5 linked regions of the Cricetulus griseus genome follow. The protein of the gene in region 3 purifies or fractionates together with the protein of the main gene of each other region. This does not show direct contact. Links are inferred from orthologs where the notes say so. Each region holds a gene or a part of one and is shown on either strand. Other genes may lie near its edges.

The links.
Region 1: the proteins of Fip1l1 (region 3) and Cstf2t purify together in Homo sapiens (co-immunoprecipitation; 3 studies listed by BioGRID and IntAct, with this or other methods). This does not show direct contact. The link is inferred for Cricetulus griseus from reciprocal best matches to the Homo sapiens genes FIP1L1 and CSTF2T.
Region 2: the proteins of Fip1l1 (region 3) and P4ha2 purify together in Homo sapiens (co-immunoprecipitation; 3 studies listed by BioGRID and IntAct, with this or other methods). This does not show direct contact. The link is inferred for Cricetulus griseus from reciprocal best matches to the Homo sapiens genes FIP1L1 and P4HA2.
Region 4: the proteins of Fip1l1 (region 3) and Cpsf3 purify together in Homo sapiens (affinity purification with mass spectrometry; 5 studies listed by BioGRID and IntAct, with this or other methods). This does not show direct contact. The link is inferred for Cricetulus griseus from reciprocal best matches to the Homo sapiens genes FIP1L1 and CPSF3.
Region 5: the proteins of Fip1l1 (region 3) and Cpsf2 purify together in Homo sapiens (affinity purification with mass spectrometry; 7 studies listed by BioGRID and IntAct, with this or other methods). This does not show direct contact. The link is inferred for Cricetulus griseus from reciprocal best matches to the Homo sapiens genes FIP1L1 and CPSF2.

Annotation. Positions count from the first base shown.
Region 1 is NC_048596.1:30,363,540-30,369,797, forward strand, and holds the start of Cstf2t (cleavage stimulation factor subunit 2 tau variant), read right to left. Parts: upstream 3,490-6,258; 5' UTR 3,386-3,489; coding exon 1,421-3,385; 3' UTR 1-1,420. UniProt on the Homo sapiens protein: May play a significant role in AAUAAA-independent mRNA polyadenylation in germ cells. Directly involved in the binding to pre-mRNAs.
Region 2 is NC_048600.1:68,253,617-68,259,840, forward strand, and holds the start of P4ha2 (prolyl 4-hydroxylase subunit alpha-2), read left to right. Parts: upstream 1-2,063; 5' UTR 2,064-2,264; coding exon 2,265-2,379; intron 2,380-4,020; coding exon 4,021-4,082; intron 4,083-6,224. UniProt on the Homo sapiens protein: Catalyzes the post-translational formation of 4-hydroxyproline in -Xaa-Pro-Gly- sequences in collagens and other proteins.
Region 3 is NW_023276807.1:141,061,257-141,066,937, reverse strand, and holds part of Fip1l1 (pre-mRNA 3'-end-processing factor FIP1), read right to left. Parts: intron 5,396-5,681; coding exon 5,331-5,395; intron 4,736-5,330; coding exon 4,628-4,735; intron 4,136-4,627; coding exon 4,005-4,135; intron 3,717-4,004; coding exon 3,648-3,716; intron 1-3,647.
Region 4 is NC_048600.1:27,390,494-27,395,598, forward strand, and holds part of Cpsf3 (cleavage and polyadenylation specificity factor subunit 3), read right to left. Parts: intron 4,484-5,105; coding exon 4,389-4,483; intron 2,949-4,388; coding exon 2,861-2,948; intron 1,261-2,860; coding exon 1,191-1,260; intron 1-1,190. UniProt on the Homo sapiens protein: Component of the cleavage and polyadenylation specificity factor (CPSF) complex that plays a key role in pre-mRNA 3'-end formation, recognizing the AAUAAA signal sequence and interacting with poly(A) polymerase and other factors to bring about cleavage and poly(A) addition.
Region 5 is NC_048598.1:104,033,512-104,039,192, forward strand, and holds part of Cpsf2 (cleavage and polyadenylation specificity factor subunit 2), read right to left. Parts: intron 5,651-5,681; coding exon 5,550-5,650; intron 5,195-5,549; coding exon 4,994-5,194; intron 2,968-4,993; coding exon 2,815-2,967; intron 2,169-2,814; coding exon 1,943-2,168; intron 618-1,942; coding exon 318-617; intron 1-317. UniProt on the Homo sapiens protein: Component of the cleavage and polyadenylation specificity factor (CPSF) complex that play a key role in pre-mRNA 3'-end formation, recognizing the AAUAAA signal sequence and interacting with poly(A) polymerase and other factors to bring about cleavage and poly(A) addition.

The sequences.
Region 1 (6,258 bases), on a different chromosome or scaffold from region 3:
ATCGTAGGAAAATAGCCTAGGGATGAAAACTTTGTACACTTAAAATTCAAGAACTCTGCAAGGGGACAACCCTTTGTGTCAGCTCTCCCTAAGGGTTACTCTTTGCTCAGCAGCTGGGTGTTTATTAACCTACAGAGGAAGGTCACTTGGCCATATGGGAGCTTGTGCTTCTTTTGTTAACTGAATATAACACAATGTCTAGGTGCCACACACTCAAAGCTAAAACAAGATAATAGCTCTAAAGGACACATAATAAACTCCACATTCCTTATTTTAAAATATATCTTATAGGAATGTGTATTATGACCAAATGGCTTTTATGTAAGATATAAAATATTAAGTTAACTGAGCATAGCTGTCGGTCTACATGGGCCCCAGTTCTAGTAAGATGTAGGAAAGTAGTTATTGAAAGTAATCAAACTGTAAGACATGTCAAAATGTCAAGACTAAGATTTCTAACTTCCTGTCAACCAAATGGATTGCATCCATATGGTGAGCGGTTTATTGAGAACCTGGGAGAGTTACTGAATGAAACCCCCACTACTCAAGAAAGCCTGACTCCTTTTCTGACTGATTCTTTTAGATGATGTCAGAAAATTACTCACAACCAGACTTGGGGCTTAAGATTTTTCTGTTTTTCTTTTTGAGCTATGCATTAAGCAATAACTTGAGTCTCATCAGGAGACTTATATGTAACTCAGTTCACACTACAACTGTCCTGCAAAACCACCACAGTTGGGACCAGGCAAGGATACTAATAGTTTCAGAAGGGTCAGATAGATCAATGAGGCATCATCTTGAGTTTTCCCATAAGAGCTCTAAGGAAAAAAAAAAAAAAAAAAAAAAAAAAAACTCTATTGCTACAAATTTTACCACAGACTATTAGCTCTAATGTTTCAAAAAATAACTAAAATATTAACCTTAATACGGTACTCTATTGCCTTTAAAATAGAATTAAGTGTTTCGGTTTTCCAAAAAAAGTGTATCTTCACAGTTTGACATTCAGTTCAATATACAGCCAAAAATCTTTAAACTATCAATATTGTAACAGGCCACTTTCAATTTTAATGTAGTTCCCAGTTTACTCAATATTTATAAAATACAGCTAACAGAGTGCAGACATGTTATTATTGCTGTATCTTCCTATACCACCTTATTTGGTATGCTGTCCTCATTTCCAGGGTTTCTAGTGGAGTTAAGTGACAAAGTGAATAGGCCCACTCCCTCCACTCCCTATCCTCAATCAAAAAGAAAAAGGAAAACAGAAAGTAAAAAGACTAGAAATAGGACTAAGGTCCAGGGAGAGGGCAACCTTCAATCATTAAAGTATGGGAACACAGAAGACAGCTTTTTGCACCACTTTTCATGCCACACAATAAACACTGAAGGGATAACTAAGTACTTCCTAACCAAAAGCCTTTCAAGAAGCACCAGTGGATTTCTGGATCTGTTCCTTTAAAATCAAGATACTCTGCCTTTGCTCGGGAGGCAGCATGGCAATCTGATCTGCAGTCAGCTGAAGAACCTGCATGATCAAAGCTGCTTTTTCCTGATCTTGTGGAGTTACCTGACTTTGCCCAGGGCTAAAACTGCTAGGCTGGCCTCCACCTTGCTTACTCGATCCTTGTATCCCTGCTTGCATGCCTGCTCCCTGCATCCCCGCTTGCATGCCAGCTCCCTGCATCCCTGCTTGCATGCCAGCTCCCTGCATCCCTGCTTGCATGCCAGCTCCCTGCATCCCTGCTTGCATGCCTGCTCCCTGCATCCCTGCTTGCATGCCTGCCCCTTGCATGCTTGCTCCTTGCATTCCTCCTCCTTGTATACCTGCTCCCTGCATCCCTGCTCCTTGTATGCCTGCCCCCTGCATACCACCTCCAGGATTTCCCACTCCTGCAATGTTTGGAACCTGTCTAGGTCCCTGAGGGCCACCTGCCCCCATATTAATGGGGCCAGGACCCTGGATTCCACCAGTCATCGGGCCTCTGGAACTAGGGCCAGGGCCCCTCATCTCTAGTCCTCTTGCTTCCATCCCTCTGGTCTCCATTGCGCAGGTCTCCATTCTTCTCTCCATTCCTCGTGGCTCCAAGACCTCGGTTTCCATGGGTCGAGTCTCCATTCCTCGAGACTCTCTACCTCCTCTACCATCCATAGGTAGACCTCTTTGATCTATCATGGGACCTCTGGGCTCTCCAATTAGCATTCTGGGATCTGCTGCTAATGGTCCTCCTCTCATGTCATGCGAGGAAGGGCCACGGCTGTCATGACCATGGTGCATAGGGGGACCTTGGTGGGGTGGGCCCATATAACCTCTGGGTTCTACTTCTCCGGTAACTGAGAGCAAAGTCCCTCCGCGTGGGTCATTTGGAGCATCTCCCAGTAGTCCTCGAGGAGGAATGCCACCAGAAGGCATGGGTCCACGAGGCATTGGAGGTCTAGGATCTGACATCTGCATTTGTCCTCGCTCTAAGGGCACTGGCATGCCAACCTGTGGCTGCATTGCTCCTGCTGGAGTTAAGGAACCAGGTCCAGGTCCGGGAACTGCGGCTGGTATTGGTCCCGGAGCTGGAATTCCTCCTTGTATAGAAGTCTGCATCAGAGGAGGAATGTCCTTCACAGGTCTTCTTGGCAGATGTTGAGGCTGTGGGGCTGGAGGATTCTGTTGGTTCAGCATAACATTGGGTCCCGGGCAGAGCCCAGGGGCAGTGGCAGGGCCAGGGCCAGAGCCGGGGCCAGGGCCAGGACCACCTGGGCCAGGGCCAGGGCCAGGCTGAGATTTGCCTGGGATCAGTGGTGTGACATGTATCTTGCGATGCAAAATTTTCAGTGCAATCTCTGGATCCATGATCCTCATCACCACCTGGGCCTGCAGCAGGGCATACGCCAGTTGTGGGTTCTGAAGCAGCATGTTCCGCGCTTCCTGGTGGCTGTTTTGGACACACAACTTCATTTGCTTCATCAGCTCAAACATCTGCTCCGGGGGCAGGCTGGCGACTGCTCTCGTAATCGACTCTGGAGCATCTTCTGGATCAATCGGGTCCCCATAGGGGGAGTCGATGATGGGCGCTGCCGGGCCCAAGCTCTTTAACTCCTCCTTGTTCTTTTCACTGGCAGCATTGTCCACCCGAAGCGCTCTCCCACTAAATTCGCGCCCATTGAGGTTCCGCATGGCACTAAGCGCCGTCTCCTGGTCTTGGTACTCGCAGAAGCCATAACCCTTGGGCTTTCCTGTCTCTCTATCGTATACGAGACGGAAACTGACAACCGAACCAACCTCCGAGAAAATGTCCTTTAACTGCTCCTCCGTCGCCTCATACGGGATGTTCCCCACGAACACTGAGCGCAGTGAACGATCCATGGCTGGGTCTCTCACCGCCAAACTCGACATGATTCCGGTCGAGCACACAGCGGAGAGCAAATCCGTCCAAGAGCCGTCCTCTGGCGAGCCAACCACACTTCCCCTGTGTAACGGAAGCAGGTGTCAAACTCCGGGGAGAAACCTTTCCGCTATAAGTCCATAGTTCCGCTAGGCCGCAGAAACCGCTTCCTAAGACCGGACTAATTTATCTAACGCCTTCCGCCTCCGGTCGCGCGCTCTTCTGTCCGCGCCTGGTTACTGACAGCGTGTTTCCTCTCCATGATCTTATTGGTCAAATTTCTCCGGCGTCCCGCCCCCTCTTCCTGCCGTCACCGGATGCATTAGAACTGACCACATTAAAGATGGCCGACCGGGCTTCACTGTGGTAACCGTAGCGTCGGCCTTCCCAGAGGGATGGGGCGGTTTTTCTTTGCGTTCCACGAGCGGGAAACCGCCAAACGAAAGCTGATTTAAGGCTTAATGTTTAAATTTCTGATCCATGTGTTTTCACAGATGCTTCCGTTTAGTGTAGAATGTTTGAAAGATTTAAAATTTTGTTCCAGATTATGAGGTAAAATGTTGATACCTGTACCTTAATATTAAAACACCTCCTTAAATATCAATAAAAGAAAATTAATGCCCAGGGAGACAAACTAAAGCGTCTGTCAGCTTCAGCCCCGCCCCCACGCTATGGCTTGTTGAAACTGTTATAAGATGCAGGATCCTTTCAGGTTTTTCTCTGTGTGCTCAGGCAAAGTGCTCATTCCTCTACTTACTAATATTATGCTAAATTGGAATTAATTGAAAAGTATGGCCGAGAGTATAGATTTAATCGAATTAATTTAACTTTTATTGTGGACATTTAGGTAGTTTTGATTTTTAAGTTGTTCTCTTTGTATTTTATTTTGAGTTACGGTCTCTATGACGTGGAGTCTGTATAGTCCTGTGCTCTCCTGAAGTTCATGATCAGGCTGGCCGTAAACTCACAGAGATCCACCTGCTGCCTGCTTCTGCCTCTGGAGAGTGCTGAGATTAAAGGCATGCTCCACCACTGGTTTTGTTGTCCTTGTTGTTGTTTTGGGGGGTTTTTAGACAAGGTTTCTCTGTGTAGCCTTGGCTGTCCTGGAACACTCTCCATAGACCAGCCTGGCCTCCACTCACAGAGATCCGCCTGCCTCTGCCTCCCGAGTGCTGGGATTAAAGGCGTGCACCACCACTTGCCCAGCAGCATATGTTTTATATTTGGTTGTGAATTTATTCAACAAATCAAGATATCAGGTTACTAAAATTAGTTTTGCTGTCTTAACACAGGGCTCCTCTTCAGACCAGGTTGGCTAGGAATTCACTATGTATGTAGTTCAAATGGTCCTCCAATTTGCAGTCCTCCTGTATGCCCCAGATGCTGGGATTAGAGGCAAGCACCACAAACCTTGTTCTTACCTGACTGATTTTCAAAGAAAAAGACATGAATCAAGCAAAACATCTAAGGCCTATGGGATTATCCTTCACACTTATCACTGTTAAAGTTTGGTCCATTGTAGTAATGGTTTTTATGCTAACTCTGAAATTGTTCTGAGCATCCATGTATCAATCATACTAGGAAATAAGTGCCTTAGCTAAAAACATAGGCATTTTCAACAAACAGGATTGACCAACAAAATCACCCAAATCTCTGACAGATTTGAGGGGAAAATATGGTATTTACAGCAGGGTGGTCACACAGGTCTGGAATTACCAGCACTTGGGGGCCTAAGACAGGATGATCCTCATTGTGATTTCAAGGATAGCAAGGGTTACATACTGAGTTGTAGGCCAATCTGTGATACATGTAAGCCCTCCCTCCCCAAATGGTTTTTAGTTATTTCTAGAAATTAAAATTTACACAAAACTGTAGAAACTATATTCTCTGTGGGTCTATAAATGGTATTAAAATATTAAATGAAAGATTCACAATAAACTGGGCATGCTGGCTCACACCTTTAATCCCTGCATTTGAGATACTTCCAGGACAGCCTGGTGTAACTAGCTCCAGGCTAGTCATGACTACACAGTGAGACCCTTAAAAAAATAATTTTAAAAAGGATTCACTATAGATTAAGTAGATAAATACTAGATATAGTTTTAAAATACTATGAATAGTTTCAGGCACTTTTTACCCTTCATTCTGAGAATTGACTTGAGGACCTGAAACCTAACACTAAATTATAATCCCAGCTCTAGGCCCAGAGTCACCTTTTTATTTGTCTTGGTCTCTCAAAGAATAGCCAAACAGTCCACAAAAATTTCTCTAGTCTCTCCCTCATCCTGTAGGCTAAAAATAATTCATTTTCCCTTAGATACAACCAATTTTTTAATCTGGACCTTCCTGCTGGTAGTAATTCGTTTTACCTTTTAGTAGAATTATGATTTGCATCTATAAAATAACTCAACGAAATATGTAGGTCTTTTTATCCATTGGCCATCTGCCTCATATTTCTCATTCCATAAATACCTTTCCAGGCACTGTCAATACGGCACTGTGAAAACATATTTGTTAGGACAATTTCTCTGCATGAGTTTTGTGTACTATTGCACCAAACCCACCAGTAAATAAACATCTTTAAATAAAACAAACACCAAAAACAAAGTTTTTCATATCTCCCATATCAGAAACACAGAAATGTGTTTCGCTAATGCCTAAGGATAATTTTAATGCAGGCCATAGTTGAAAAGCTACTCCACTACAAGGAGACAACCATAACACACACACACACACACACACACACACACACACACACACACACACACACACACACACAGTATTGACATGTATAGATGAGGTGTTTCATTTTGTTTTCACCAGTGTATCCTCCGCCCCTAGGGTAAAGCTGACTCTGTGGAGTTCCCATTATTTCATTTGTTAA
Region 2 (6,224 bases), on a different chromosome or scaffold from region 3:
GTAACTGAGACCTTTCTTATCTTCAAATAGGAGGCAGAGAGGGAGGGAGATGAAAGCCCACATCCTGTGACCACACCTCTTCCAACAAAGCCACAGTTGTTGTTTTCTCCTAAGTTGCTCTATTTACAATAAAGACTTGGGAGTCAGATGTTGGGGGGGAACCTGCTAGATCGGAGAAGCCAAGATGTAACCAGCTGACCTTCCTTTTCTGCTGGAGACCCAGCAAGAGATTGTCTCTCCACATCGTCCAAAACCAAAACAAGACCACAAATCTCTAAGTCCTTCCCTACTCCTTCCTGTTGGTCTTTCTATTAGTCTTACCAGGTCTTTTGTCCTCTCTATGGCTAATTCTTGTCAGCTAGTCCACTGGCTGAACTCCCTGGTCCAAGGCTAATTTTATTAACATGGTCTCAGAGTTCCAGAGTGTGATCAAATATCCTGAAACACCACATCTCCTAATCCTTCCCAAATGGTTTCATCAATTGAGGACCAAACATTCAAATACATGAGCCTATGAGTACCATTGTCATTCAAATCACCATACTGTCCAGCATAGATGACAACTCTGAATATTATTTACACTTAGCACAATGGAATGTTCCATTAATTCATAGCTCAATCCCACAAGCAGCCCAGAGCCTCATGGGAGCCCAGATAAGGAAAGGGATCCAGTTCTGTGTCTCCTGAGTCACCTACCTCAGCAGGGGCCAGGGTATTCTGGGTTGTCCAGTGGTCTGCCAGTGGCCTTCCCATATCCTTTTCTGGCTTTTCTGCATGACCAGTTCTTGATTTTGGTCACAGGCTCTATCATCCCTGGATGCCTCCAAGGCTCAAGAAAACTTAGTTGGTCCTAGTTTTCAAGGGCTCAGCAAAGGTTTGGGGATTTTCCCAACATCCTCTGTATCTTCAGTACTGGAAGTCCCAGGCTGGAGTTACTCTCCGAGGTCTGGAAAACATCTCTATACACCCATTTGTTCCTACTGATGTGGTAAGCAAGGGTCCTAGCTGAATCTTGTCAGATTGGTGACCTGGGCACTCAATCAGTCCCAGGAAGGCTTTAAAAATGAGTTATTTGAGAAAAATAGACATCAAAATAGCCAAACAACCCAATTAAAAAAGAAATGGGGCATGGAATTAAACAGAGTGCTGTCAAAAGATAAAATTTAAATGGCCTTGAAACATTTAAAAACCTCTTTAGTATCCTTAGCCGTTAGGGAAGTGCAAATTAAAACTACTTTGAGATTTCATTTTACCCAGTCAGAATGACGAAAACAAAACAAATGACAATAAATGCTGGTGTGGATGAGGGAAAAGGGGAACACTTACTTCACTGTTGGTGGGATTAAAAACTGGTATAGCCACCATGGACACCCAAGTGGCACTTCCTCAAAAAGCTAGAAATAGATTAATACATGACACAGTCACACACACCAAGGGGTTCTGCATTTTACTGCAGGGAACCACATCCATGCTCATTACTGTTCTATTTATGATAGCTAGGAATTGGAAACAACCATCAGCAGACAATGAAAATGTGTTACATTTGCACAATGGAATATCATTCGACTGTTAAAAGAAATGAAATTACAAAATTCACGTGTAAATGGAAACAATGTTACACTTGTTTTATATATGTAATACATGTGTAGGTTGTATAAACGATCATTCTGAGTGAGATAGCCTAGACTCAGAAAGACAAGCCTCACATATTTTTACTCATATGTGCATGTTAGCGATGAATCTTCAGATATGTGTGTTCCATTTGAAATACCCATAAAGGTCAGGAAATTTGTAAGGAGCCATGGCAGGGGCTTTCAAGAGAGATAGAATACAGTGATATGGGGTTAATAAAATAGGAAGGGTTAAATTAAGGATGGGGAGGACAGGGTAGAGGGTTGAATACCAGGAGGGTTCTTTGGGCAAGGCCAGTGATGACACACCAAGGTTCCCATGGTGGATTTCATGCACCCTCTGGTGGCCATTATTAGTTTTGCAAATTCTGAGCTGGGATGACATTCCAGGGGCGGACCCAAGGCCCCGCCTTCCCTAGGTTCTACAGGCCTTGTGCACAAATAGCTGCTTGCACTTTGAGATGGAGCATGAGGAAATGCTGTCTGGATGAAGAAAGGGGATGAGCCTGGCCTGCGGCTGTTGGTGACTGTGGAGTGAGAGTGCCGGCTGTCCCAGACAGCTGTCATCAATCACAGTGTCCTGTGGTGTAGCCACTTTGAGAAAGCTGCCCTTCTGCTCTCACTACTTGCATCATGCACTTTTCAGCCAGGAAGGCACACTGTTCCAGCTGTCCCTACTCAACCAGGATCCTGCAGATGAGGAGGAATGCAATTTGCTGGGCCCAGGCCCTCAGGTTACTGGTTCAGGGTAAGGATCAAGTCAGATTCTGGCATAATTTGGTTTTTGTTGTTTTTTTTAAGATTTGTTTTTATTTTATGTGTATGCTTGTTTTGCCTGCATGTATATATGTGCATCATGTGTGTGCCTGGTGCCCACAGAGTTCAGAAGAGGTATCATTAGATACCCTGGAATATGAATTAGGGATGGTAGTGGGCTGTCATGTGGGTACTGGGAACTGAACTGGGTCCTCTGCAATTGCGAGTGCTCTTAGCTGCTGAGCCATCTCTGATCTCTGTGCATGAACAATAAAAACCCAGAGACAGATATTGGGGTTCAAGCTGAAGATCAGAAAAGCAAAGCAGCCAACCAGTAGAGAGTTCTCACCTCTACCAAGGTTCAAACTAAAGCAGCAGTGGTGGTGGGGGGAGGGGGGAAATCGTGTCTTCAGCATGACTGCAGACTGCAATGGTCTCCCACAAATCTCAGACTGCCAGAGACCACACTGAACTCCTGACTTATATTCCTCTCTAGTGCTGGGATTAAAGGCATGCCATCCCAAGTGCTGGGGTCAAAGGTGTGAGCTCTGTTTCTGTTTTAGATTGATTCACTCTCATGTAGTCCAGGGTGGCCTTGAACTCACAGAGATCCATCTGCCTCTGTCTCCTGAGTGCTGGGATTAAAGGCATGGCCACCATGGCCTGACCTCTATGGCTAACTAGTGGCTTAGGTGTGTGGCTAACTAGTGGCTTAGCTCTGCACTCTTCAGGAAAGCTTTATTTGTTAGATTACAAACAAAATATCACTGCATTTCCCCTTTTTGTCTAAAATAAAAAAGAAGCCTTATATAATATAAGAAAAACTATGTACAATAAGTACAATAACTTAAAGATTCAATTTCTAGGTCAGAGTTAAGGGAAGGGATACCTCTATGGAGCTTCTCAGAGTTTTATGCAAGTATCTGAGTTGTGAAAAATACAGAAAGTTACAAAAACAGAAAATACCATATTTTCTATATAAATGTATATAGAAAATACATATACTATATGAGAGTAAATATAATATCTTGACATGGAAATGAGTCCACTGGATCTCATCCATGTTTTTACACAGTTAAATACAAAATGTGCTTTTATGGGATCTGAGTGTTCTGGAATGTGTCTGATATGATATGAAGTGACCATATCAGACTCCAGAGGAATGAACGCCTTGGCCTCCTTGAAGTGAGTCAAGGACTTAGGCCAGGGTTCTTAGTAACTAGTAAGTTCAGATGTGGGTGTCTACTCAAGGTGCCCCATGTTCCTCTTATTGGGATTGTGTGTGGTAGCTTAGGGTTAGGGTTAGCAACTGCTATCCCACGTGGTGATTTTATACCAATTATCCAGATACCCATTTCCCAATTCCATTTATTTCCATATTTACTGGTGGTTAGAGTTTGGGCTAGGTTTTTCCAGGTTCTTGGTTACTTATTCAGAGAATTAAAAATGAGGGCTCACACAGATTTGCAAAAGAAGCAAAATAAGTTTGCTGGAGCAAAGAAAGCATTAACACATGTCAGCAGGCCACATGAGTGAGATAACTCAGTTTTCTCGTACGAGGTTCAAATGGAGAACAGGCTGTATTAAGGGGTATAGTTTGAGTGGTTTTCTATTTTTTTTTATCATTGTGCAGGCAAATCTATGAGTCTGTGGAACTTGGGTCCTTGCCAATGGTCACATAGCAAGTGCATCAAGGTATTTTTTTTTCCATTTTCCCCTCCTTCCCTGCTCCCTACCAACTCCCTATCCCTTTCTGCTCCCCAGGGAGGGTGAGGCCTTCCATGGAGGATCTTCAGAGTCTGTCATATCCTTTGGAGCAGAGCCTAGGCCCTCCCCCGTGTGTCTAGGCTGAGAGAGTATCCCTGTATGTGAAATGGGCTCCCAAAGTCCATTCTTATGCTAGGGGTAAATACTGATCCACGACCAGAGGCCCCATAGATTTCCAAGGCCTCCCCACTGATACCCAGGTTCAGGGGGTTTGGATCAGGCCTATGCTGGTTTCCCAGCTATCAGTCTGGGGCCCATGAGCCCCCCTTGTTCAGGCCAGCTGTTCCTGTGGGTTTCACCAGCCTGGTCTTGATCCCTTTGCTCATCACTCTCCCCTCTCTGCAACTGATTCAAGTTCAGTTTGAAGGGACCAGCTCCCAATTTTGGCAGCCATAACAGCCAAACACATACTTGTCTGACCTTGTATTGGTTGCTAGGAGGTCAGATGCCTGTCTTGTGGCAAGGAACCAATCAGAAGTTAGCTAGTGGTGCTATGCTTTACGGCTCTGGGTGTGCTTTATGGACAAGTGCACAGCAATGACGCACAGAGCATAGCAACCACCCTGGGAGGGCCTATGGGCCATAACAACCAGTTGACCAATCAACACAGGGCAAACCCTCCAAACCAATCCTGAGCCTGTGTGTACCCCTAGACACTCCCCTTATGCTGCCTTATAAGATCTCTATGCAGCCGCTTTGCAGGGTCTTTTTTTTAGCCATCCGCCATGGTGGGTGGATGAAAGACCCGAGCTAACATGGGGTTAGCTCGTTAAACAACTACAATAAAGCCTCGTGCAGTTTGCATCAAGCTTTTGACTCTGCCTGGTGATTGGGGTGACTGAGGTCCTGGGCTGAGATCTTGGGGGCCTGAGTCTCTGGGGGTCTTTCAAGTTCAGTGTTTAGCTGTGGGTAACTGCTTCTACTTCCATTAGCTGCTAGATGAAGGCTATAGGATGGCATATAAGGTAGTCATCAATCTCATTATCAGAAGAGGGCATTTAAGGTAGCCTCTCCACTATTGCCTAGATTGTTAGTTGGTGTCATCCTTGTAGATCTCTGGACATTTCAATAGTGCCAGTTTCTCTTTAAACCTAAAATGTCTCCCTCTATTATGGTATCTCTTATCTTGCTCTCCTCTGTTCTTCCGCCAACTCAACCTTCCTGCTCCCTCACGTTCTCCTCTCCCCTCCTCTTCTCCCCTTCTCATTCTCTTAGCTCCCTCTCCCTTCCCCCCATGCTCCCAATTTGCTCAGGAGATCTTGTCCCTATCCCCTTCTTCGGGGGACCATACTCCTTGTTTCCCAGCTTCTCTGGCGGTATGGATTGTAGGATGGTAATCCTTTGCTCTGTGTCTAAAATCTATATATGAATGAGTACATACCATGTTTGTCTTTTTGTGACTGGGTTACCTCGCTCAGAATGGTTTCTTCTAGTTCCATCTATTTGCCCGCAAATTTCAAGATTCCATTTTTTTTTTCCTGCTGAGTAGTACTCCATTGTGTAAATGTACCACATTTTCTATATCCATTCTTCAGTTGAGGGGCATCTAGGTTGCTTCCAGTTTCTGGCTATTACAAATAGTGCTGCTATGAACATAGTTGAACAGATGTCCTTGTTGTATGAATGTCTTCTTTTAGGTATATGCCTAAGAGTGGAATTGCTGGATCTTGTGGTAGACTGATTCCCATTTTCCTGAGGAATCACCATACTGATTTCCAAAGTGGCTGTACAAGTTTGCAGTCCCACCAGCAGTGGAGGAGTGTTCCCCTTTCTCTACATCCTATCCAGCATAAACTGTCATTGGTGTTTTTGATTTTAGCCATTCTGATAGGAATAAGACGGTATCTCAGAGTTGTTTTGATTTGCATTTCCCTGATGGCTAAGGATGTTGAACACTTTCTTAAGTGTCTATCAGCCATTTTAGACTCCTCTATTGAGAATTCTTTATTTAGTTCTGTACCCCACTTTTTAATTGGATTATTTGGTGTTTTGGAAACTAGCTTTTTGAGTTCTTTGTAAATTTTGGAGATCAGCCTCTGTCAGATGTGGGGTTGGTGAATATCTTTTCCC
Region 3 (5,681 bases):
ACATACACACACACATACATACATACATACATACATAGAGTGCCACTGTCACCTACTAACCTTCTCAAGAACAAAACACTGCAGGTATTACCTAACTCACGCTAACCTTTCCTTTATAATATTACCAAAACTCATCAGCTGACAGACACCTCTCCAGTCAAATCCATCTGTGTGCATCAACTACTGTGATAAACACACTCTCCACATTTGCTCTTAACTCTGTACAAAGGCAAAGCAATCATACCACATTTTGCATGCCAACTCGTGTCTCTCCTCTGCTCAAGATTCTCCAATTGTTCCCAATGCAACCCAGACCAAAACAAACATCTTAACATGGCCTATATGGTTATGAGCCTTGTATCCCTCTAAACTTGTTTCTTTCCATTCTTCCTCCACTTACTTTTACCACTCCTAGTCATGATAGCTTTTTTCTTGTCTTGTTGGACACGTAGGCTCCTCTTCTCATCAGGGTTTCTGAATTAACTATTCTTTCTGTTTGGAATAGTCTTTCTCTGGATTCTCTCATGGAATCCTCTAATTCAAGTAGAGCAATCTTCCCAACCTCCACCCATGCTATTGCTCTCTGTACTTTCAATTATGGGTCAAAAACAGGCTAAAATAACTCAAGTGGAAAATTCCAAACAGTGACAACTGACACGTTAAACCACACAGAGTCTGCACCTTTCCAATTCCACCTCACCTGGGACATGAACCATCCTTTTGTCTATGCATCCACATGCTCACTTCAGCATCCTGTTAATCACTCATTCAGCTGCCTGGGATACTAAAACTGTTAGGGTAGAGGAGTATTGAGGTCTGACTAAGCCTTACTTAACTTAAAAATGCCCTTAAAGCACAAAGGTCATGATGCTGACGATTCAGAGCCAGCACAAAGAAGCCATCACCTAGTTCCTTTCAGAAGAGTCACCATATGCTAAGGTTGATATGACTTACAGCACAATAATTATTTTGAGCATACTGGAATAATTTTTTTAGTGTACTGCTCTGCACTGTTATTGTTACTCACTTACTATGACTAACTTGGAAGTTAACTTTATTGTGCATATACATGTGGAGAAGCAAACAGAGTATATAGGGTTTAGTACTACCCAGTTTCAGGCATCTACAAGGGATCTTAGTGTATTCCAGTGGTCGAAAGAGGACTACTGTGTCAAATTATCCCTTGTAACAGAGTAGCTTTCCTTCACCACTGCCAGTCTCTTTCCTGTGATTTTCTATTGTCTTCTTAAAATTTCTTGTTAGCATCATCTGAATATTTTGCTGTATGATACTACCTGCCTACTGTCACTATGCCAAGACCTTTGAAGAAACCATGTATAAACTCTGTATCCTAAGTGCTAAGTGTCTGGAAAAGGATGTGGAGAAGCCAATAAACTTTTTTTTAAATTTATTTGATTGGTTTTGAGCCTCTACTTTAATGTCGCTTCTTCAGTCTTTCAAATAACATTAAATATGTAATTGTTGGCATCATTATTTATTGAATACCTAGCTTTTCCATGACAGAAGATTAGAGTCTATGTCTATTATGTTCACTTTCTTTCCCCAACCAGCCTAACACATTGTTTGGGATTGTCTTCTAAAAGCTGGAAAGAAAAATGGGAGAAGGTTGAAGAAGAAAGTGGGAGAGAGAATAAAAGATCTTAAAACTGAAGGGAGTATTTAAACTATATGCATGTACGTGTGTATCTCTACAACAGTGAAGACAAGAGGTAGTAAAATGAGTAAAAACTGCTCATTTTTCCTAACTTTTATACTTAATTCCTCTAAAACACACTTATTACACAATCCTGAAAACCTTCACTATCATAGCAGCTTTCCTCTTTATCTTGAATTCTAACTACCCACTTGTGTTTTCATATGCTACATTCAGGATGACAAAATCAAAATCTGTCCAACCAGAACATGAGATTAGTTCACATAACCTAGCATCTTAAGAAATAACTATATAATATATGATTGATTTATTGAAACCAAGTTAACATCTGATCTTGCAGTGAAAACTTTCTTGGAAATTAAAAACTTAACAGCAGAAACAAAAATCTAAGTAGAATTCAATGGGGGACGGGGGGGGGGGGGGGACGACCTCCCAGAAAGAAGAGATGGAAAAATTAGGGTAAATCCAGATTTTACAGGACTAGTACAATACATCAATAAGAGATAAAAAGAGAAGCAGAAAAAATAAAATGAAAAAAAAAAAAAAAAAAAAAAAGGCTCTCAAGTCATGAAGCCCAGGTGTTTTTTGGTTCACTCCTGTACTACTGATCACATCAACCCCATCTGACCTTTTGCCTTTCTTACAGTCCACTCAACTGCCACTTCTTTTCTAAAAACCAGATCTGCACAGTAATCTACTGCTCAAGAACCTTCTTATGGATGCCCACTGTTCACATGAATGTGCACAGTGTTTAAGATGAAGGTCTTTTTCCGTGGCATTATTTCCATCATTTCCTACAGACCACAATATGACTGGGGGGGGCCTAACTAAATCACTGAAATTAATCATCCCTAAATCACTATTTCCAATAGATTTACTAGTATTTAAGCATCTGATCAAGGCAAGAAAACCACTGAACAACAACCATAAAATTCATTCAGAATGAATCAATCAGAAATGGAGAAAAATTAATGACTTCCTCGAAAACAATCAAAAAGAACTCAAAAAATATTCAACAGATAGCCTATATGTAAAATAGATACCTATAGCTTTCAAGAGAAGCTAACCCTAGTAGTTTCTTATTTCACTGTTTACAAATCTAAGATGACCATTTAAAAGAGTAAATATTACCAAGTACTTTCAAAATATTAATAACAGAACAAGAACCAAATACTTACCTATAATAGGATATAAATTAAAATTAAAGTCTCTATACAGAATTGTACAGACAGCAGCTACATCTGCGGATACAGCACATAAGCCAGCATTTTGGTGTCCTCAAAAGGGCACAGAGTTCTATATCTAGGCCACAAAGTCCCTGAGGTATATAACCTAAAGCTAAGGAAAGGAAAGGCTACCCAACCAAACCTCAGGAAAAGCAGCAATGAAATGTAGTATTCTTTGGACCCACATGGAGAAACCAGAGGTCAGACCTGATGTCACATGATCCTGTCAACCTTCATGTCACTTACATGGACCTACTCCTTTTAAACCTCGGAGGCTCTGCTCAATTTTAAGAGGTTGTCAGAGAACATCTAAAATTCTTGAAAACACCTTAACTATAAGCTATTGCACCAATGAGACTTCATTGTCAGAGAATAAACATTGTTACCATCCCTCCTGCTTTTTTAAGAACTGGGGAAACAAAAGGTTTTCCCAATTTTACTAAGAATAAGAGTAAAATGTACAATGAGTGCTGAGCCTGCAGCCATGACCTTCATATCCCACAAATATGTACTATCCTTAGGTCACAACATACGGCAAAGAAATTTTATTTGGTGTTTGTTAGTATGATAGGCTATAAATTCACATGCTTACAAAAGTTAACAACAATCAACAAAGATGTAAGTCACCAGGAAGCTGAAGGTTTGGGGGGAAAAAAGGTACCTATTTCCACTTTAATTTTCTCCCCTGAACAGAGCAGACTCAAGAACAAAATGAGAGCAACCAAGGATAATTTACTAAAATTCACCTTAAAAAGATTGAATCTGCCATCTTGGATCTCTGCACCTGGTGTAACTTCCATAGTACAGTCTTCGGCCTAAGTTAAATAACATATTCCCCATTAAGATACCACACAATTTTTAATTGATAGGCCACATAAAGACAAACTAGCTGTGGCTAGTCTGTGATTTGAACTAAGAACACACGATAATCATTAACATGGAACTGAAGGGGAAGGGGAAATAAACAAACATGGTCAAGACAACAAAAAAATTAAACTGTCATACAGCATTTAATCACCTTTGTAGGGGAAAAGTGACTTATTTGGGGAGTCAAAGTGCAATAGTAGAAGAGGCAGGGTTACTCTGGAAGATTTACTAATTACCGTAATTTTATTTGTTGTTGAAGTAACTGGTATAACTTCAAGTCCCATTCGTATCCTCTTTTGTTTTTCACAGTAAGCTTTCCAAGTATCTTCATTAAAGCCATAATTGAAATAATCAGAAAGATCAGCACCTAAAGATAAAATAAACTTTTAGAATACAAATATTTTAACTCTATGGCAGCATCAAAATATAGTTCAGTATAAAAATGTAGATTTAGAGAAGGTATGAAAATAGAAGGGGAACAAACTCTGAAGAGGAAGGTTATTAGGGTATTGGTGGGGGTTGGAGGGGGTCAAAGAGGACAAAGCAGTGAACATGTTCAAAAGACTGTATACATATGAGAAAAGGTTACCACAATGAAGCAGACTGAAAAACATTTTGATCAAAATGATTTCCTTTAGAAATGACATTATACTAAATAATGTGAGTCCACATTTATGTTAATTCCAGTGACTTAATGAGGTTTTAATAATGCCAGTACTCAGTATTCATTGTTTGCTTAGAACAATAAAAAAAGACATCATGAAAGGCAGCATTTTATACTGCCACTCAAAAATACTTTTCTGATCATTTTACACTAAAAATCTGTTTTTGAGATAACTGTACTCCCAAATAATCTTACCAGGTTTCCGCCATGGTTTATCTTCAAAAGAATCCAAATCTACTTCCAACAGTGGCACTCCATTAATGCTGCCAGGTGCATCAAGGTCTACCCCTTTGACTTTGGTTCCTAATTTAAAGAAATGCAAAATGGCAAAGAAGCTACCTTAGCAAGAAGGAGAAGACAAAAAGAGGAAACAAATGTCCCTTTACCATCCATCCTGACCATTAATAAAACTAGATAAAGTCAGACTTTGTGATGAAACTTTTAAGACGAACAAAATGGAAAAGTTATGCATTTAGATATTATGGCCTAGCATGGCAGCACATGCCTAACATCTATGCACTTGAGAAATGGAGACAGGAGGACCAGGAACTAAAGGCAAGTTTTGGGTACACAGCTAGGTCAAGGATAGGTCCTGAGATACTATCTCAGGAAACAAAAACAAAAGATTACTACATCAATGGAATTGCTAATGCCATCTGTTAAATTGCTGTTTTATATAATTTGTGGGCAAAGAAGTTTCTCTTAAAGGGTTCTAAAACAAGCAAAGCAGCACAAGCAGAACAGGCGGAATGTCTGCTGTCTGAGATGTTTTTCACAGAAGGAGTCTGCATATGTGTCAGTCAAACATTACTCATGAAAAGAGCTGATACAATCTACTCGGGACCTGAGATATCATGCCATTTTTTCATACTTATACAGATGCAAATACAAGTTTTACCTGTATTTCCATACACTCTTCCCCCTGTCTTGATATTAAGATTTACTGGCGCTGTTCCATAACTCCTAAAAATATAATAAAAATTAACCTCAAAAACACACAGTAACAAAATAGAAATATTCAACATGTTATAAACCCACATAGTGAGTGAACGAATTGGCACTCACAAACATATTAATTTTTAAAGATTTTTTCAGTTTTACAGGATAAAAACTAAAATTTGTTTAGATTTACTTTATGTGTATGACTGTTTTGCCTACACGTATGTATATCACAAGAGTGCTTGGTGTCCAAAGAGGTCAGAAGAGGGCACTGGATTCCCTGGAACTGGAGTTATGGATAATTGTGAGT
Region 4 (5,105 bases), on a different chromosome or scaffold from region 3:
CCACACCAGCTCTTTAAAACAGGGTCTCACAAAGTTGCCTAGAATGGCCTCCAGCTTCTATGTAGCATAGATCTTATGACCCTCCAGTTTGGGGTCAACTTGGGCAATACAGTGAAGCTATGTCTCTTAAAACACAAAACAAATCAAAAAGCCAATGAAAGCTATTATTAAAAAGCCACTGTTATCAGTATGAAATTTTAGAAAAACATAAAGGACACAAAATCTTCCCAAATACTAAGATTTCTATCCTTGTCACTCTCAACTTAGATGCAGAAGCAGCCATTGTCATGATTGGAACCTGCAATGTCCTCAGAGGACATCAAAATTGGCTGCCAGGTGATGGGTTCTGACCTAATTCACCAAGCGATTCCTTCCCTTACAGACTCACATCAGGCTGGCATTGGCACAGCTGCAATGGTAACAGACATGAGGCCTGGGTGAGGAAGAAAGACACCGGGAGCATGACTGTGAAGGGGACAGCCTGTGTGTGACTGTGAAGGAAGGGGACAGCCTGTGTGTGACTGTGAAGGAAGGGGACAGCCGGTGACTCTGAAGAATGGAATATAGTGAGCTTCCTCCTCTCCTGCACAATCCCATCACCACAATGCTCTACTCCACATCAGGACAAAGCCAAGGCCACCTGGCCATGGCAGAGCCCTCTGAACCAGGAGCCAAAATGTATCTTTCTTCCCTTTGTCTTGCAGACATTTTCTCTAAAGAAAACTAAGTTATTCATTCACCAAGCAAATGATACGATATTGGGTGCTGAAACTATGAATTAACTATCCACTGGTAAGAGGTTTCCTAAGATCGCTTAGAAAACATCCCAAAGTCAGCTGAAAGAGCACCCACAGGAAGGCACTGTGGTAGAAACACACCAGACTGGAGACATTCACAGTTACAGATAGACTTACTGGAAAGAGGCTAAACACCCACTTTACCAAACAATTCACGTCCAAGCCAATACTTAAAATAACTCTTAAAGGCACAGTGACATTCAGCTGACATCACACTAGTTGACAGATGTGCAGGCTTCATAAGGCTGGAGCACTGGCATGTGGCAACAACCACAGTGTGAACTTGGACATAACTTACTTAGTACATTAGCAGGACAGGGACACACCATGAGTTCAGCATTCCCACCCGCATACACACACACCCATGCACCCGCACACCCAGCTGAGACTTACTGCAGCATGACCTCCAGCCTCTTGCTATAAACGTGCATCTCTAACTTCTTAGAGACCTTCTGCACCGCACCTGAAGGACAAGCAGCTCAGTCACCAAACAGGTCACCAGAGCATGAAGTAACCATGGAGACCTCAAAGTCAAAGCATGTGCTGTGCCATCTGCTCACATAAGGCAAATTCATGTGAATGTCAGTTCGTGTTTTTATAAAGGAACCACAACAACACCCAGTTCACTTTTATTTCCCAATTTTCTCAAACTTACATTCTGAGGAGAGGTGACTAAATTATAGGTCCACAGACTTCTGGACCATTAATCTGTATCTAAACGTTATGTATCAGCTATAGCATCTGATACGAATATTTTAATAAAATCAATACTTAAGGGCTGGAGAGATGGCTCGGCATCCTCTTCTTTTTTTTTAACCCCAACAAACACACAACTTGATGGTCATGATAAGTCATCTTTAATCTGGAGTTAAGGTCACCCTGGCCTATCCATTCCTACGCCTCCCTGGCCTGCACCAGCTATACAACAGTGCCCATTCATGGTCTCTGTTTCCCCAAAGGGTAGGCAGACTTGACATGTGAAGTGCGCACACACAAATTCTCTTTCCCTGAGCCATCATCTTATTACCACATGGCCCAGTGCTCACTGCATCACTCAGGCTGGCCTCAGACTTGCAGTGACCCTCTTTCCTCTGACGCCCAAGTGTCAAGATTACAGCAATGTGAACCACCCCATTTTCAACGTTTTGCTTTTTTTGATTCTACTAGACAGGGTCTCTTTTCTCTTGTAGAGTCCAGGCTGGCACTAAACCTGGCCTTGATCTCACCCTCCTGCCCCACTGGTCAAATGCTGGGGCGACATGCGTGCACCACCGTGCCTGACCAGAACCATTCTCAGTGCTGAAGAAGGTTCCAGGACCAGATGCCCACTAAATGGGTGCTCTCAGCACTGAACCACACCAGCCCCACAGAGCAAACAGCAGCACTGTTCACAGAGCTAAAGGCGAGGATGAAGACTGAGCAGAGACTCTCACACTGCCATGACCCACAACCAAATGCTCCCCAGCAGCTCAAGGGAGGATATGGACATGGCCGGCTTACTCATGTCACTCATGTGACAGAGTGGCCAACACAGAAAACTTAGGGAGTGACCAGTTCCACTTCCCTCCCCTGTGCCCATTCTGTCTCTAGGGGGACATTCTATCCTGAACAGGCTCTGGTATCCTGTGTGGGTCTAGAGTGGGGGGAATCTCCCAGAATACCTCAGGGTGCCTCCTTGTCTGATGGCACATCTGGAGTCCACTGTGCAGCCACAGGGCCAAGCCGCCAGCCAGCTTCAGCACATGCTCTCACTAGTTAGAGCTGCCATTCTATTCAGCACCTTCCCTTGAACATGAAGCCAGCTCTCTCCCTGAGGGACATGCTGGCTCAGCGGAGCAGTATCTTAGCATCTCTGTTCACAATGTTTTAGGAGAACTGTAACTAAACAGGATTCTACCTTTGTGAATGATGAGCCAGAATGAAAAGTAAGACATCATGTGTTCATACCTCAAAATCACACACTAAAATCTAGGAAAACTTAAGTTCTACTCAGGGCTCTACTGATTTTTTTTGTTCTAAGAATCTGAGAGAGATGGAATGGTTAAGCATGGGGCAAGCCCTACCTTTCCTTATTTTTGGATTCGACTGAACTTCCAGTATCACGGTGGTCACTGTGTCCGCATACATGTCGTTAGAGGGGTTTGCCAGCCACTATAAAGCAAAGATGGAGTCAGGAAGGTAGAACCACAGCCATACTGCTGCGAGCTCTGCCTGTCAGGCCAGCAGGCCGCAGGGGAGCTGCTGCTCTAGCTTTTTGGGGAATCAATTGGCTCCTAGTCACATGAGACTCCTAGTCACCTGAGTCCTTTAAACGCGCCCCCCTCCCCACTTTGTGGCAAGAAGTTTTCCATGCATTGCCATTTAATTTCCCTAATTATTTTATTAGAAGAGAAAACTGACCCCAAAGTAACACATGCAATATAACTGCTGGTGCTGGGTCAAACTCAGATTCCAAATTTCTTTATGCTACTGGCTCAGGCAGCAGGACAAGAGGGTGAAACACAAGGTGTGTAATGTAGATGCCTATTGAACTTTTTGTTTGTATTGGGTCTCACCAGTGTATCTCCACCCCACCCCACCTCACCCCACCCCACCCCCTAAATGGATCTGAATATTTTGCCAGCCTGTATGTCTGTCAGAAGAGGGTGCCGGATGTCCTGAAACTGAAATTAGTCAGTTATGCCACATTGGCCATGTGGGTGTGGGGATTGAACCCAGGTCCTCTGGAAGAGGACATTCCAGCCCAGATGATGTTTGTCTTTTAAATTTATTTATGTATTTATTATGTATACAGTGTATGCCCAAAGGTCAGAAGAGGGCACCAGATCTCATAACAAATGGCTGTGAGCCACCATGTGGTTGCTGGGAATTGAATTCAGGAACTCTGGAAGAGTAACCAGTACTCTTAACTGCTGAGCCATCTCTAACCCATTTATGCTTTGAGTTACTTTACAGTTTATTCAAGACATGAAAATATCTTTTTTTTTTTTTTTAAAGGAAGGTGGCATGACTAGTTTGTGGCCTTTTTTTTTTTTTTTTGTATTTCGAGTCAGAGGTCCTCTGTGTAGCCCTCCCTGGCTGTCCTTGAACTCAGAGATCCAGGAGCCTCTACCTTCCAAGTACTAGCATTAAAAGTGTGCACTATCTTGAGACTTTTAAGACCCCCCCTTTTTTTAATTAAACTATAAGTACATCAAATTCCTGCCAGCCTCTCCCCTGTTAGCCCCACCACCACCTACTCTTTCTCAAACTCACGGCCTCTTTTACTTTAATTGTTGCTGTATTTCTTTCCCTAGACTTATAAATACAGCCTGCTCAGCATGTATAGTGTTATTTTCATATATTTGATTTCAGGCCTGACCACTTGGTCTTGGAAGACCTATCAGGGGACTTTTCCCTTGGCAAGACTATTTCTCAAGCTCTCAGAATGCCTTAGTTGCTTGTAGTTTTGTCTAAGGCTGAGCCTGTGAGCTCCCCTCTTCAAAACTGATGGTACCCCAGATTATCAATAACCACACTTCTCTGCGATTACACATACGGTTATAGGAAACTTCCCTCCTTCCTCCCCTTGAGGTGATGACTGGGCCTCACCTCCAGAACCACCATGCCTGGCTCCTGTATGACAGTGATATTCTTGAACACCTTCAGAGCAGGTTTTTCTTGAATTTCTAATTCTTCTACATCACCTGAAGAAAATTGTAAGACTCATATGATTTTCTTACAGACTTTAAGAGGCGTTAGTCTTTGTAGAGATAGTTAAAACAGAGCTGCTGTAAGTGGGAAGATTATTAACATTTAACAGCTATGTTTTATTCCTACTGCTCATAGCAACTGAAGACCACACAGTACACAATTCCTACACACGCGCCTCAGGCACCAACACTCGGGCCACCAGCAAGAGAGATCCATCTCCATAGCACCTCAGCTTTAGTGCAAGCCTCATGGGCCAACTCCCCACCTCCACCTTGAGTCTAATTGTCACACAGGGAGTCCAGCTGCTGAAGGATCACTAGTTCTTAAATGAATCTCCTCAAGGACTAATTCATTCATTCATTAATCAATCATTAATTTATGACTTTCCTCTTTGGCCATACTCTTGGATGAGGTCAATTTCAGGTGGGTAGAATCCTCCCCCCACTTCTTGTTTCAGGGGCTAAGGGGCTCAGCAGCAGCAAGCACATCACAGCCTGGGGTGCTCCCGTCTCCTCAGAGAGCCCACACTGATGCTTCAGTTATCACCTTATATCAGGTAAGGACATTTTGTTTAAAATGGTGAGAATGAGAGACATAGGCTTAGGCTCTCACCAA
Region 5 (5,681 bases), on a different chromosome or scaffold from region 3:
TACCTGAAAAATTTTAATAATTAAAAAAGGATTTGGTAAAGGTTTTCTTTAAATTATCATCCTCTAGCTGCAAAGACTGAGACACACAGATACATGCCCTGGGTAATCTTTTGTAAGAGCTCCAAATTTGGCCCCCACACAATGTATTTTAAACAGCTAAAATCACAACAGGGGAGCTAGAAGGATGACAAGTGGGGAGACAGACAGACTGGGGGTGTGGCTCAATGGAGAAGCATGTGACTAGCATGTCTGAGGACCATCAATCAAGCCCCAGGGCCACTAAAAGGTAGAGACAAGAGAAAGCAGCGACCTCTGACCTCATGAGGTGGCAAAGGCTCCAGTGTGGGGATGATCTCACTCTCTTCACCCAATTCCTTGTCATCATCTCCAAACAGACTTTTCATGGCCTTCTGCTGGGCTATGGCACTGGAATCTGAAGGACCATCCACTTGCATTTCAGAGTCTTCTCCATCATCCTTGAGCTCTCCTTCTTCTAAAATAACTCCTGTGTCCACTTTGGAAACTCTCATGTCTAGGACACCATCTATCCAAGCCAGCTCGGCATCTTTAGCTTTACAAAACTGAAGGGAGCTGACAAGCGAGTCCTTTAATCGTACCTGGATATGCAAAGGGAGGGGAGGTTAACAAAGGGAGGGTGTAGGTTAACAAATCAAACATAGTCTTCTGCCATTTTCTAACTCTGGCAATATGATCAACATCTGAAAATCTCTCTCCTCAGGCTGTCATTCTTCACAGTGACCCAATTATCTGTAAGGGCTTGAGAATCCCTGGCCATTTTCCAAAATAAGACTGTCAATCTGACTGTACAACAGAGTCACGGCGTCCCACACCCACCTGGATACTAACACTGGGGTGCCACCTCTAGTATTTCTAGTGTGATCATTGAAATGAAGACTAGTGCTCAGATGACCATCTGTGCAGCTATGGCTGCTGTGCTTTCTGGAATGTGCCATTAATTTCACACCTCCATGTCTCTTTCTCTTACATACCCGATATGATTTTCTGCCGGGCAAGTTCTAACCTCTTCCAGATATAGATGTCACGCCTACCTTCACTGTCACTATCTCCAGATAAGACTATTTCTCCTTCATTTAGCCACACTGTTTCTTTCAATTAGGAGAACTACGACATCTGCTGAGTTTTTTTAAAAAAACTTTTTTTTTTTTTTTTTTTTTTTTGAGGCTGGGCATGGTAGAATATGCCTATAATTTTCGCACTTTGGAGGCTGAGGCAGCAGAATCAAGTTTGAGACTAGCCTGGGCTACACAGCCAGACCCTGCCATTCATAATGAAGAAATGGACGTATGTTTTTGATTTTGAGAATGCTTATCATTCCCTCACATTGGTACTTTGGCCAAAGTTGTCTATCTGACTAGAACACTCTTTCCCCACTCTTTGCTGCTGTCTGTCCTGACAAAGTAGCTAAACATCCAATAAGAGCCTGTTTAGGGTGCTGCAGAGATGGCTTGGTGGTTAGGAACACAGGCTGCTCTTCCAGAGGACCAGGGTTCAATTCCTAGGACCCACATGGCAGCTCACAACTGTCTGTAACTCCAATTCCAAAGGATCTCACACACTCATACAGACATACATGCAGGGAAAACACCAATCAATGCTCATAAAATAAAAATAATTATTTTTTTTAAAAAGCCTGTTTAGTTGTCATTTTTTTTTTCCAGGAAACCTTTTCCAAACCTCCAAACTTGAGTAGGAGCCCTCTTCTTTATCTCCCAGCACCTTACACACTGCCAAATGAGTAAGTGTTAGGGGCATTTGATTTATTTGGTTTAAACATCTCGAATTTAGGGATTGTTAGGGTAGGGAGCTGTACCCATCTCACTCACCATATTCCTAATGTACATGAGCTAGTGTGCCAACAGCAATGTCTACTTCCCCATGGCTCCACTGACAACATATTTACCTGGTAGATATGCGTTTCGCTTGTGGCATCAACTGTTTCGTGTAGCTTTGGCATGTACACTTTAATATCTTTCCCACCAAATGCACGGCAACACTCGGCCAGGTCCTGACTGGCCTCTGGTGGGCCATGGACAATGATCAACTGCCGTGGTTTCATCTGATTGATGATCTTTTTAATGGAGTCTCCGTCCGAACGTCCTTCATAGTCTATGTAAGTAACCCTGGCTCTGTAATTAAATATCATTATTCAAGCTCACTTTCTTAACTCTAAAAGTAGGCTTTTACCATCAGGAAAGAAATGCATATAAGGAGAAATTGTAAAATGCATGTTACAGTATGACTCCCAATTAAGAATATACACAAAAGATATCACTGAACAAAAAACCATTTGTTCTCTGATGATTCAAATTCCAAAATAATCACTTCTTGGCAGTATTAACTGGACTATGCAGGAAAGGAAAGAATTTCTTGACTACTTCTGGTCCTGAAAATTTTCTACCCCCAAACATTAGAATGTCTAAGTCAAGGAGGACATTTCATGAAGCAAGTAATATGCAGAAGAATTAGCTTCTCAGCTGCACCATTCTCCCACCTGCTACTAGATTTATTAAAAAGGCAGGAAATAATGTCTCTTCATATAAATGTACAATTTAATCTTCAGCTCCCTTCCCAACAATTACTTTGGTATTCAAGGATCCTCAATGAAAATACCAACATACTTCACAGAAAAGGGAGTTTTAAAAGCATGAACTCATAGTGGCTCTGCTGAAATCTCACTTTTGAAACAATGTAAGTTATATAATTCAAGGGCTTGAAACTATATCTTACCTGATATAGTTTACCCTGATCTCCAAACCCCACAAAGGCACTTACTTTATCTCAATAGACTCTGTTGCAGAAACACACTTGGTGGGAACATCAGACAGGTCCTGATCCATGGGCTCATCTCCATTTGTCAAACCCGATTCTAATTTGTTTTTTTCTTCTTCAGTGGCCTGAAGTTCTGGCACTAAGAAATCTTCTGGTCTAAACAGTGATTCTCTAATTACACACATGGAAGGTATGCTAACATTATGTAACATATGTAACAGACTAATAGATGGCATAATTTAAAGACTCCTCGAATATCTTAAGACTTAATTCAACTCAAAGCTAATTAATGCACACTACCAATCAGATGATTATATGTGCTATGTTTTTTATAACTACTGAAGAGTGCTATTTATTTATTTAGCTAGCAGCACTAAGGACCAAACCCATGACCTTACACAAGCTAGACAAGCATGCTATTCCTGAGCTACATTCTCCAGCCGGAGAACGCTCTTTAAGGATGATGTAGACTGCTGAGAAACCCTGAACACATCAAAAAAAGAACTGAATGGCTGGAACAAGCAACAAGCACTCTTGAAATCTGGCCCTGCATTTTTGGTTGTTGTTGCTTATTTGTTTTTTGTTTTGTTTTGTTTTTTTGAGACAGGGTTTCTCTTTATAGCCCTGGCTACCCTGGAATTAGCTTTGTAGACCAGGCTGGTCTCAAATTCACAGAGATCCACCTGCCTCTTCCACCCCAGTGCTGGAACTAAAGGCGTGCAACACCACCACCACCACCACTGGACGGCCCTGCACTCTTTATAATTTACTTGTTTGTGTGAGTGTATGTGTATGTGTGCCCCACAACAACTCTCCCTGTGAGCACTGCTGAAAAGAGTGAGATACCTGTTTTTACAATCCTCTACCACCCTGTGACCATCCTTCTAACGTTCTAGTCCATTCTCACTCCTCTCTGAGAACCCAGGCTCTATTCTCTAACAGCCAGGTTGCTACAGTTTCTTACTCCCCACAGTTAACATCCCCAACTCTAAACCACAGAATAACCATAGCAGTAACAACCACTTAAAGCACATTTAGTGTGATTCCAGGCTAGAGACCTTCCTTAAAAACAAAATCTCACAGGCTAGAGTGTAATTCAGTGATAGAATAACTGCCTAGCATTTACAAGACCCTGGGTTTGATCTCTAAAGCCCCTCCCCTCCCCCCAAACCCAAAGCAAAAACAAAAACTTCCTACAACTTCATTTAATTTGTATCCCCATGTTTCTTAGGAAAGTCAAGTTAAAGAGTAGTGTCCAGGGCCATGAGATGGATGGCTCAGTGGGTTAAGGAATTTGCTGCCCAAATTGACAACCTGAGTTTGATCTCCAGAACCTACAATGGAATGAAAGAACTGACTCTTGCAAGTTGTCTTCTGGTTTCCACATACACATATGTATACAAGGCACATTTGTGTACACACACACACACACACACACACAGAGAGTAAGCAGCAGACTGGTCACTTATCAAATGAACCTAAAAAAACACCAGCATTGTTTACATTGCCATGTTTTCTCTTGGTTGTTTTAGAGGGCTATGTAGACAATGGGACTTTCCTAAGTAAGCACAAGAATGATCTAAGACTACCACTTGCTCAACAACATTATGGAAGTACTAGGCAAGTATAAAATACATGCTTATAATCCTGGCTATACAAGTGGTAAACAAGTGCGTATCAATGCAGAGAGAGAGAGACACTTAAATATATCTATATATAGCCAGACAGGGAAGGGAAGAGGAAAACATGAGAGCAAGAATGTCAGACACTGTGTACTAGGCCAAGGCACCTAACTGTTTCTGGGGAAGCAGAGGGAACCCTGGCAGACTTTTACTCAGGTTAGCAATGTTTCCAAAACTGCAGTCTGAGTATGTGATTTTAGTTGTTTTTCATGGTTCCACCCTTTATTTCATATTCCCCTTGTAGCCAAAAGTATTATAAATACAACTACCAGCAAAAACTCCACAGCATGTCCCTTAGCTTCAAACCTTTCATGAAACCAAGTAATTAAACTACACACTCCCTTTCCTACTAATCCTCAAGATGCCCCTCAACGTTTCTGTTTTATGCTTCCAATTCCAAGCCTCCTCTATCTCTCAAGCCAAGGCATTCAAGAGCAAAGCACATGGCGACCAGAGAGATCCAATTCACCGAGCCCAAAGAGTTTGTTTTGCTCACATACTTGATGATCTCGCCATATTCATCCCATTTAATTCTTTCTTCTGGGGCAGGAAACATAGGGTAGGATTTTTTGGCCTGTTTGAAGAAGCTGCCTTTGCGACTGCCTTCGCCTTTCATCATCAGGTCATGCTTTGTCTTATGAGCTGAAGGCTGGTCGATATCTTCCTCCACATCACTCTCATCACTGGAGTCGATATCCGCCCTGGGAGGGTTTGGGAACACAGCAGGGTCACAATGTTACTAAGTCAGTTTGGCTTAGTATTTATAAAACCATGAATGAATGAATGACTATCCACTGTTACCCCAAGTCATAGTAGTTGGTATAAGTAGATCAGGGTTTTGTAAAAATGTGACATTACCATCCTTAATACATTGGCATTATTAGCACTCAAAAGGTTTTATTTTTGCCATTTGAAAATGTTAATAAGTCATAAAGCCTTAAGACAATTTAAGCTATCTTCACTGAAGGCCACTGAGTGTTTGAATCCTACAAATGTGTTCTTTTTACATTATATGCTGACTTAACCTTACGAGTTACTCTTATGTGAGTGACTCACTCTTTCGACTGCTCAAGTTTCTTAGCAGCTTCTTTCTTTAGTTTCTCTTTTTCCACATATTCTTCGAGTTCTTTCCCTTCAAGCTTCACGCGTTTCCTCAGCTAATGAAAAAGACAAGAGAAAGTCAGCATC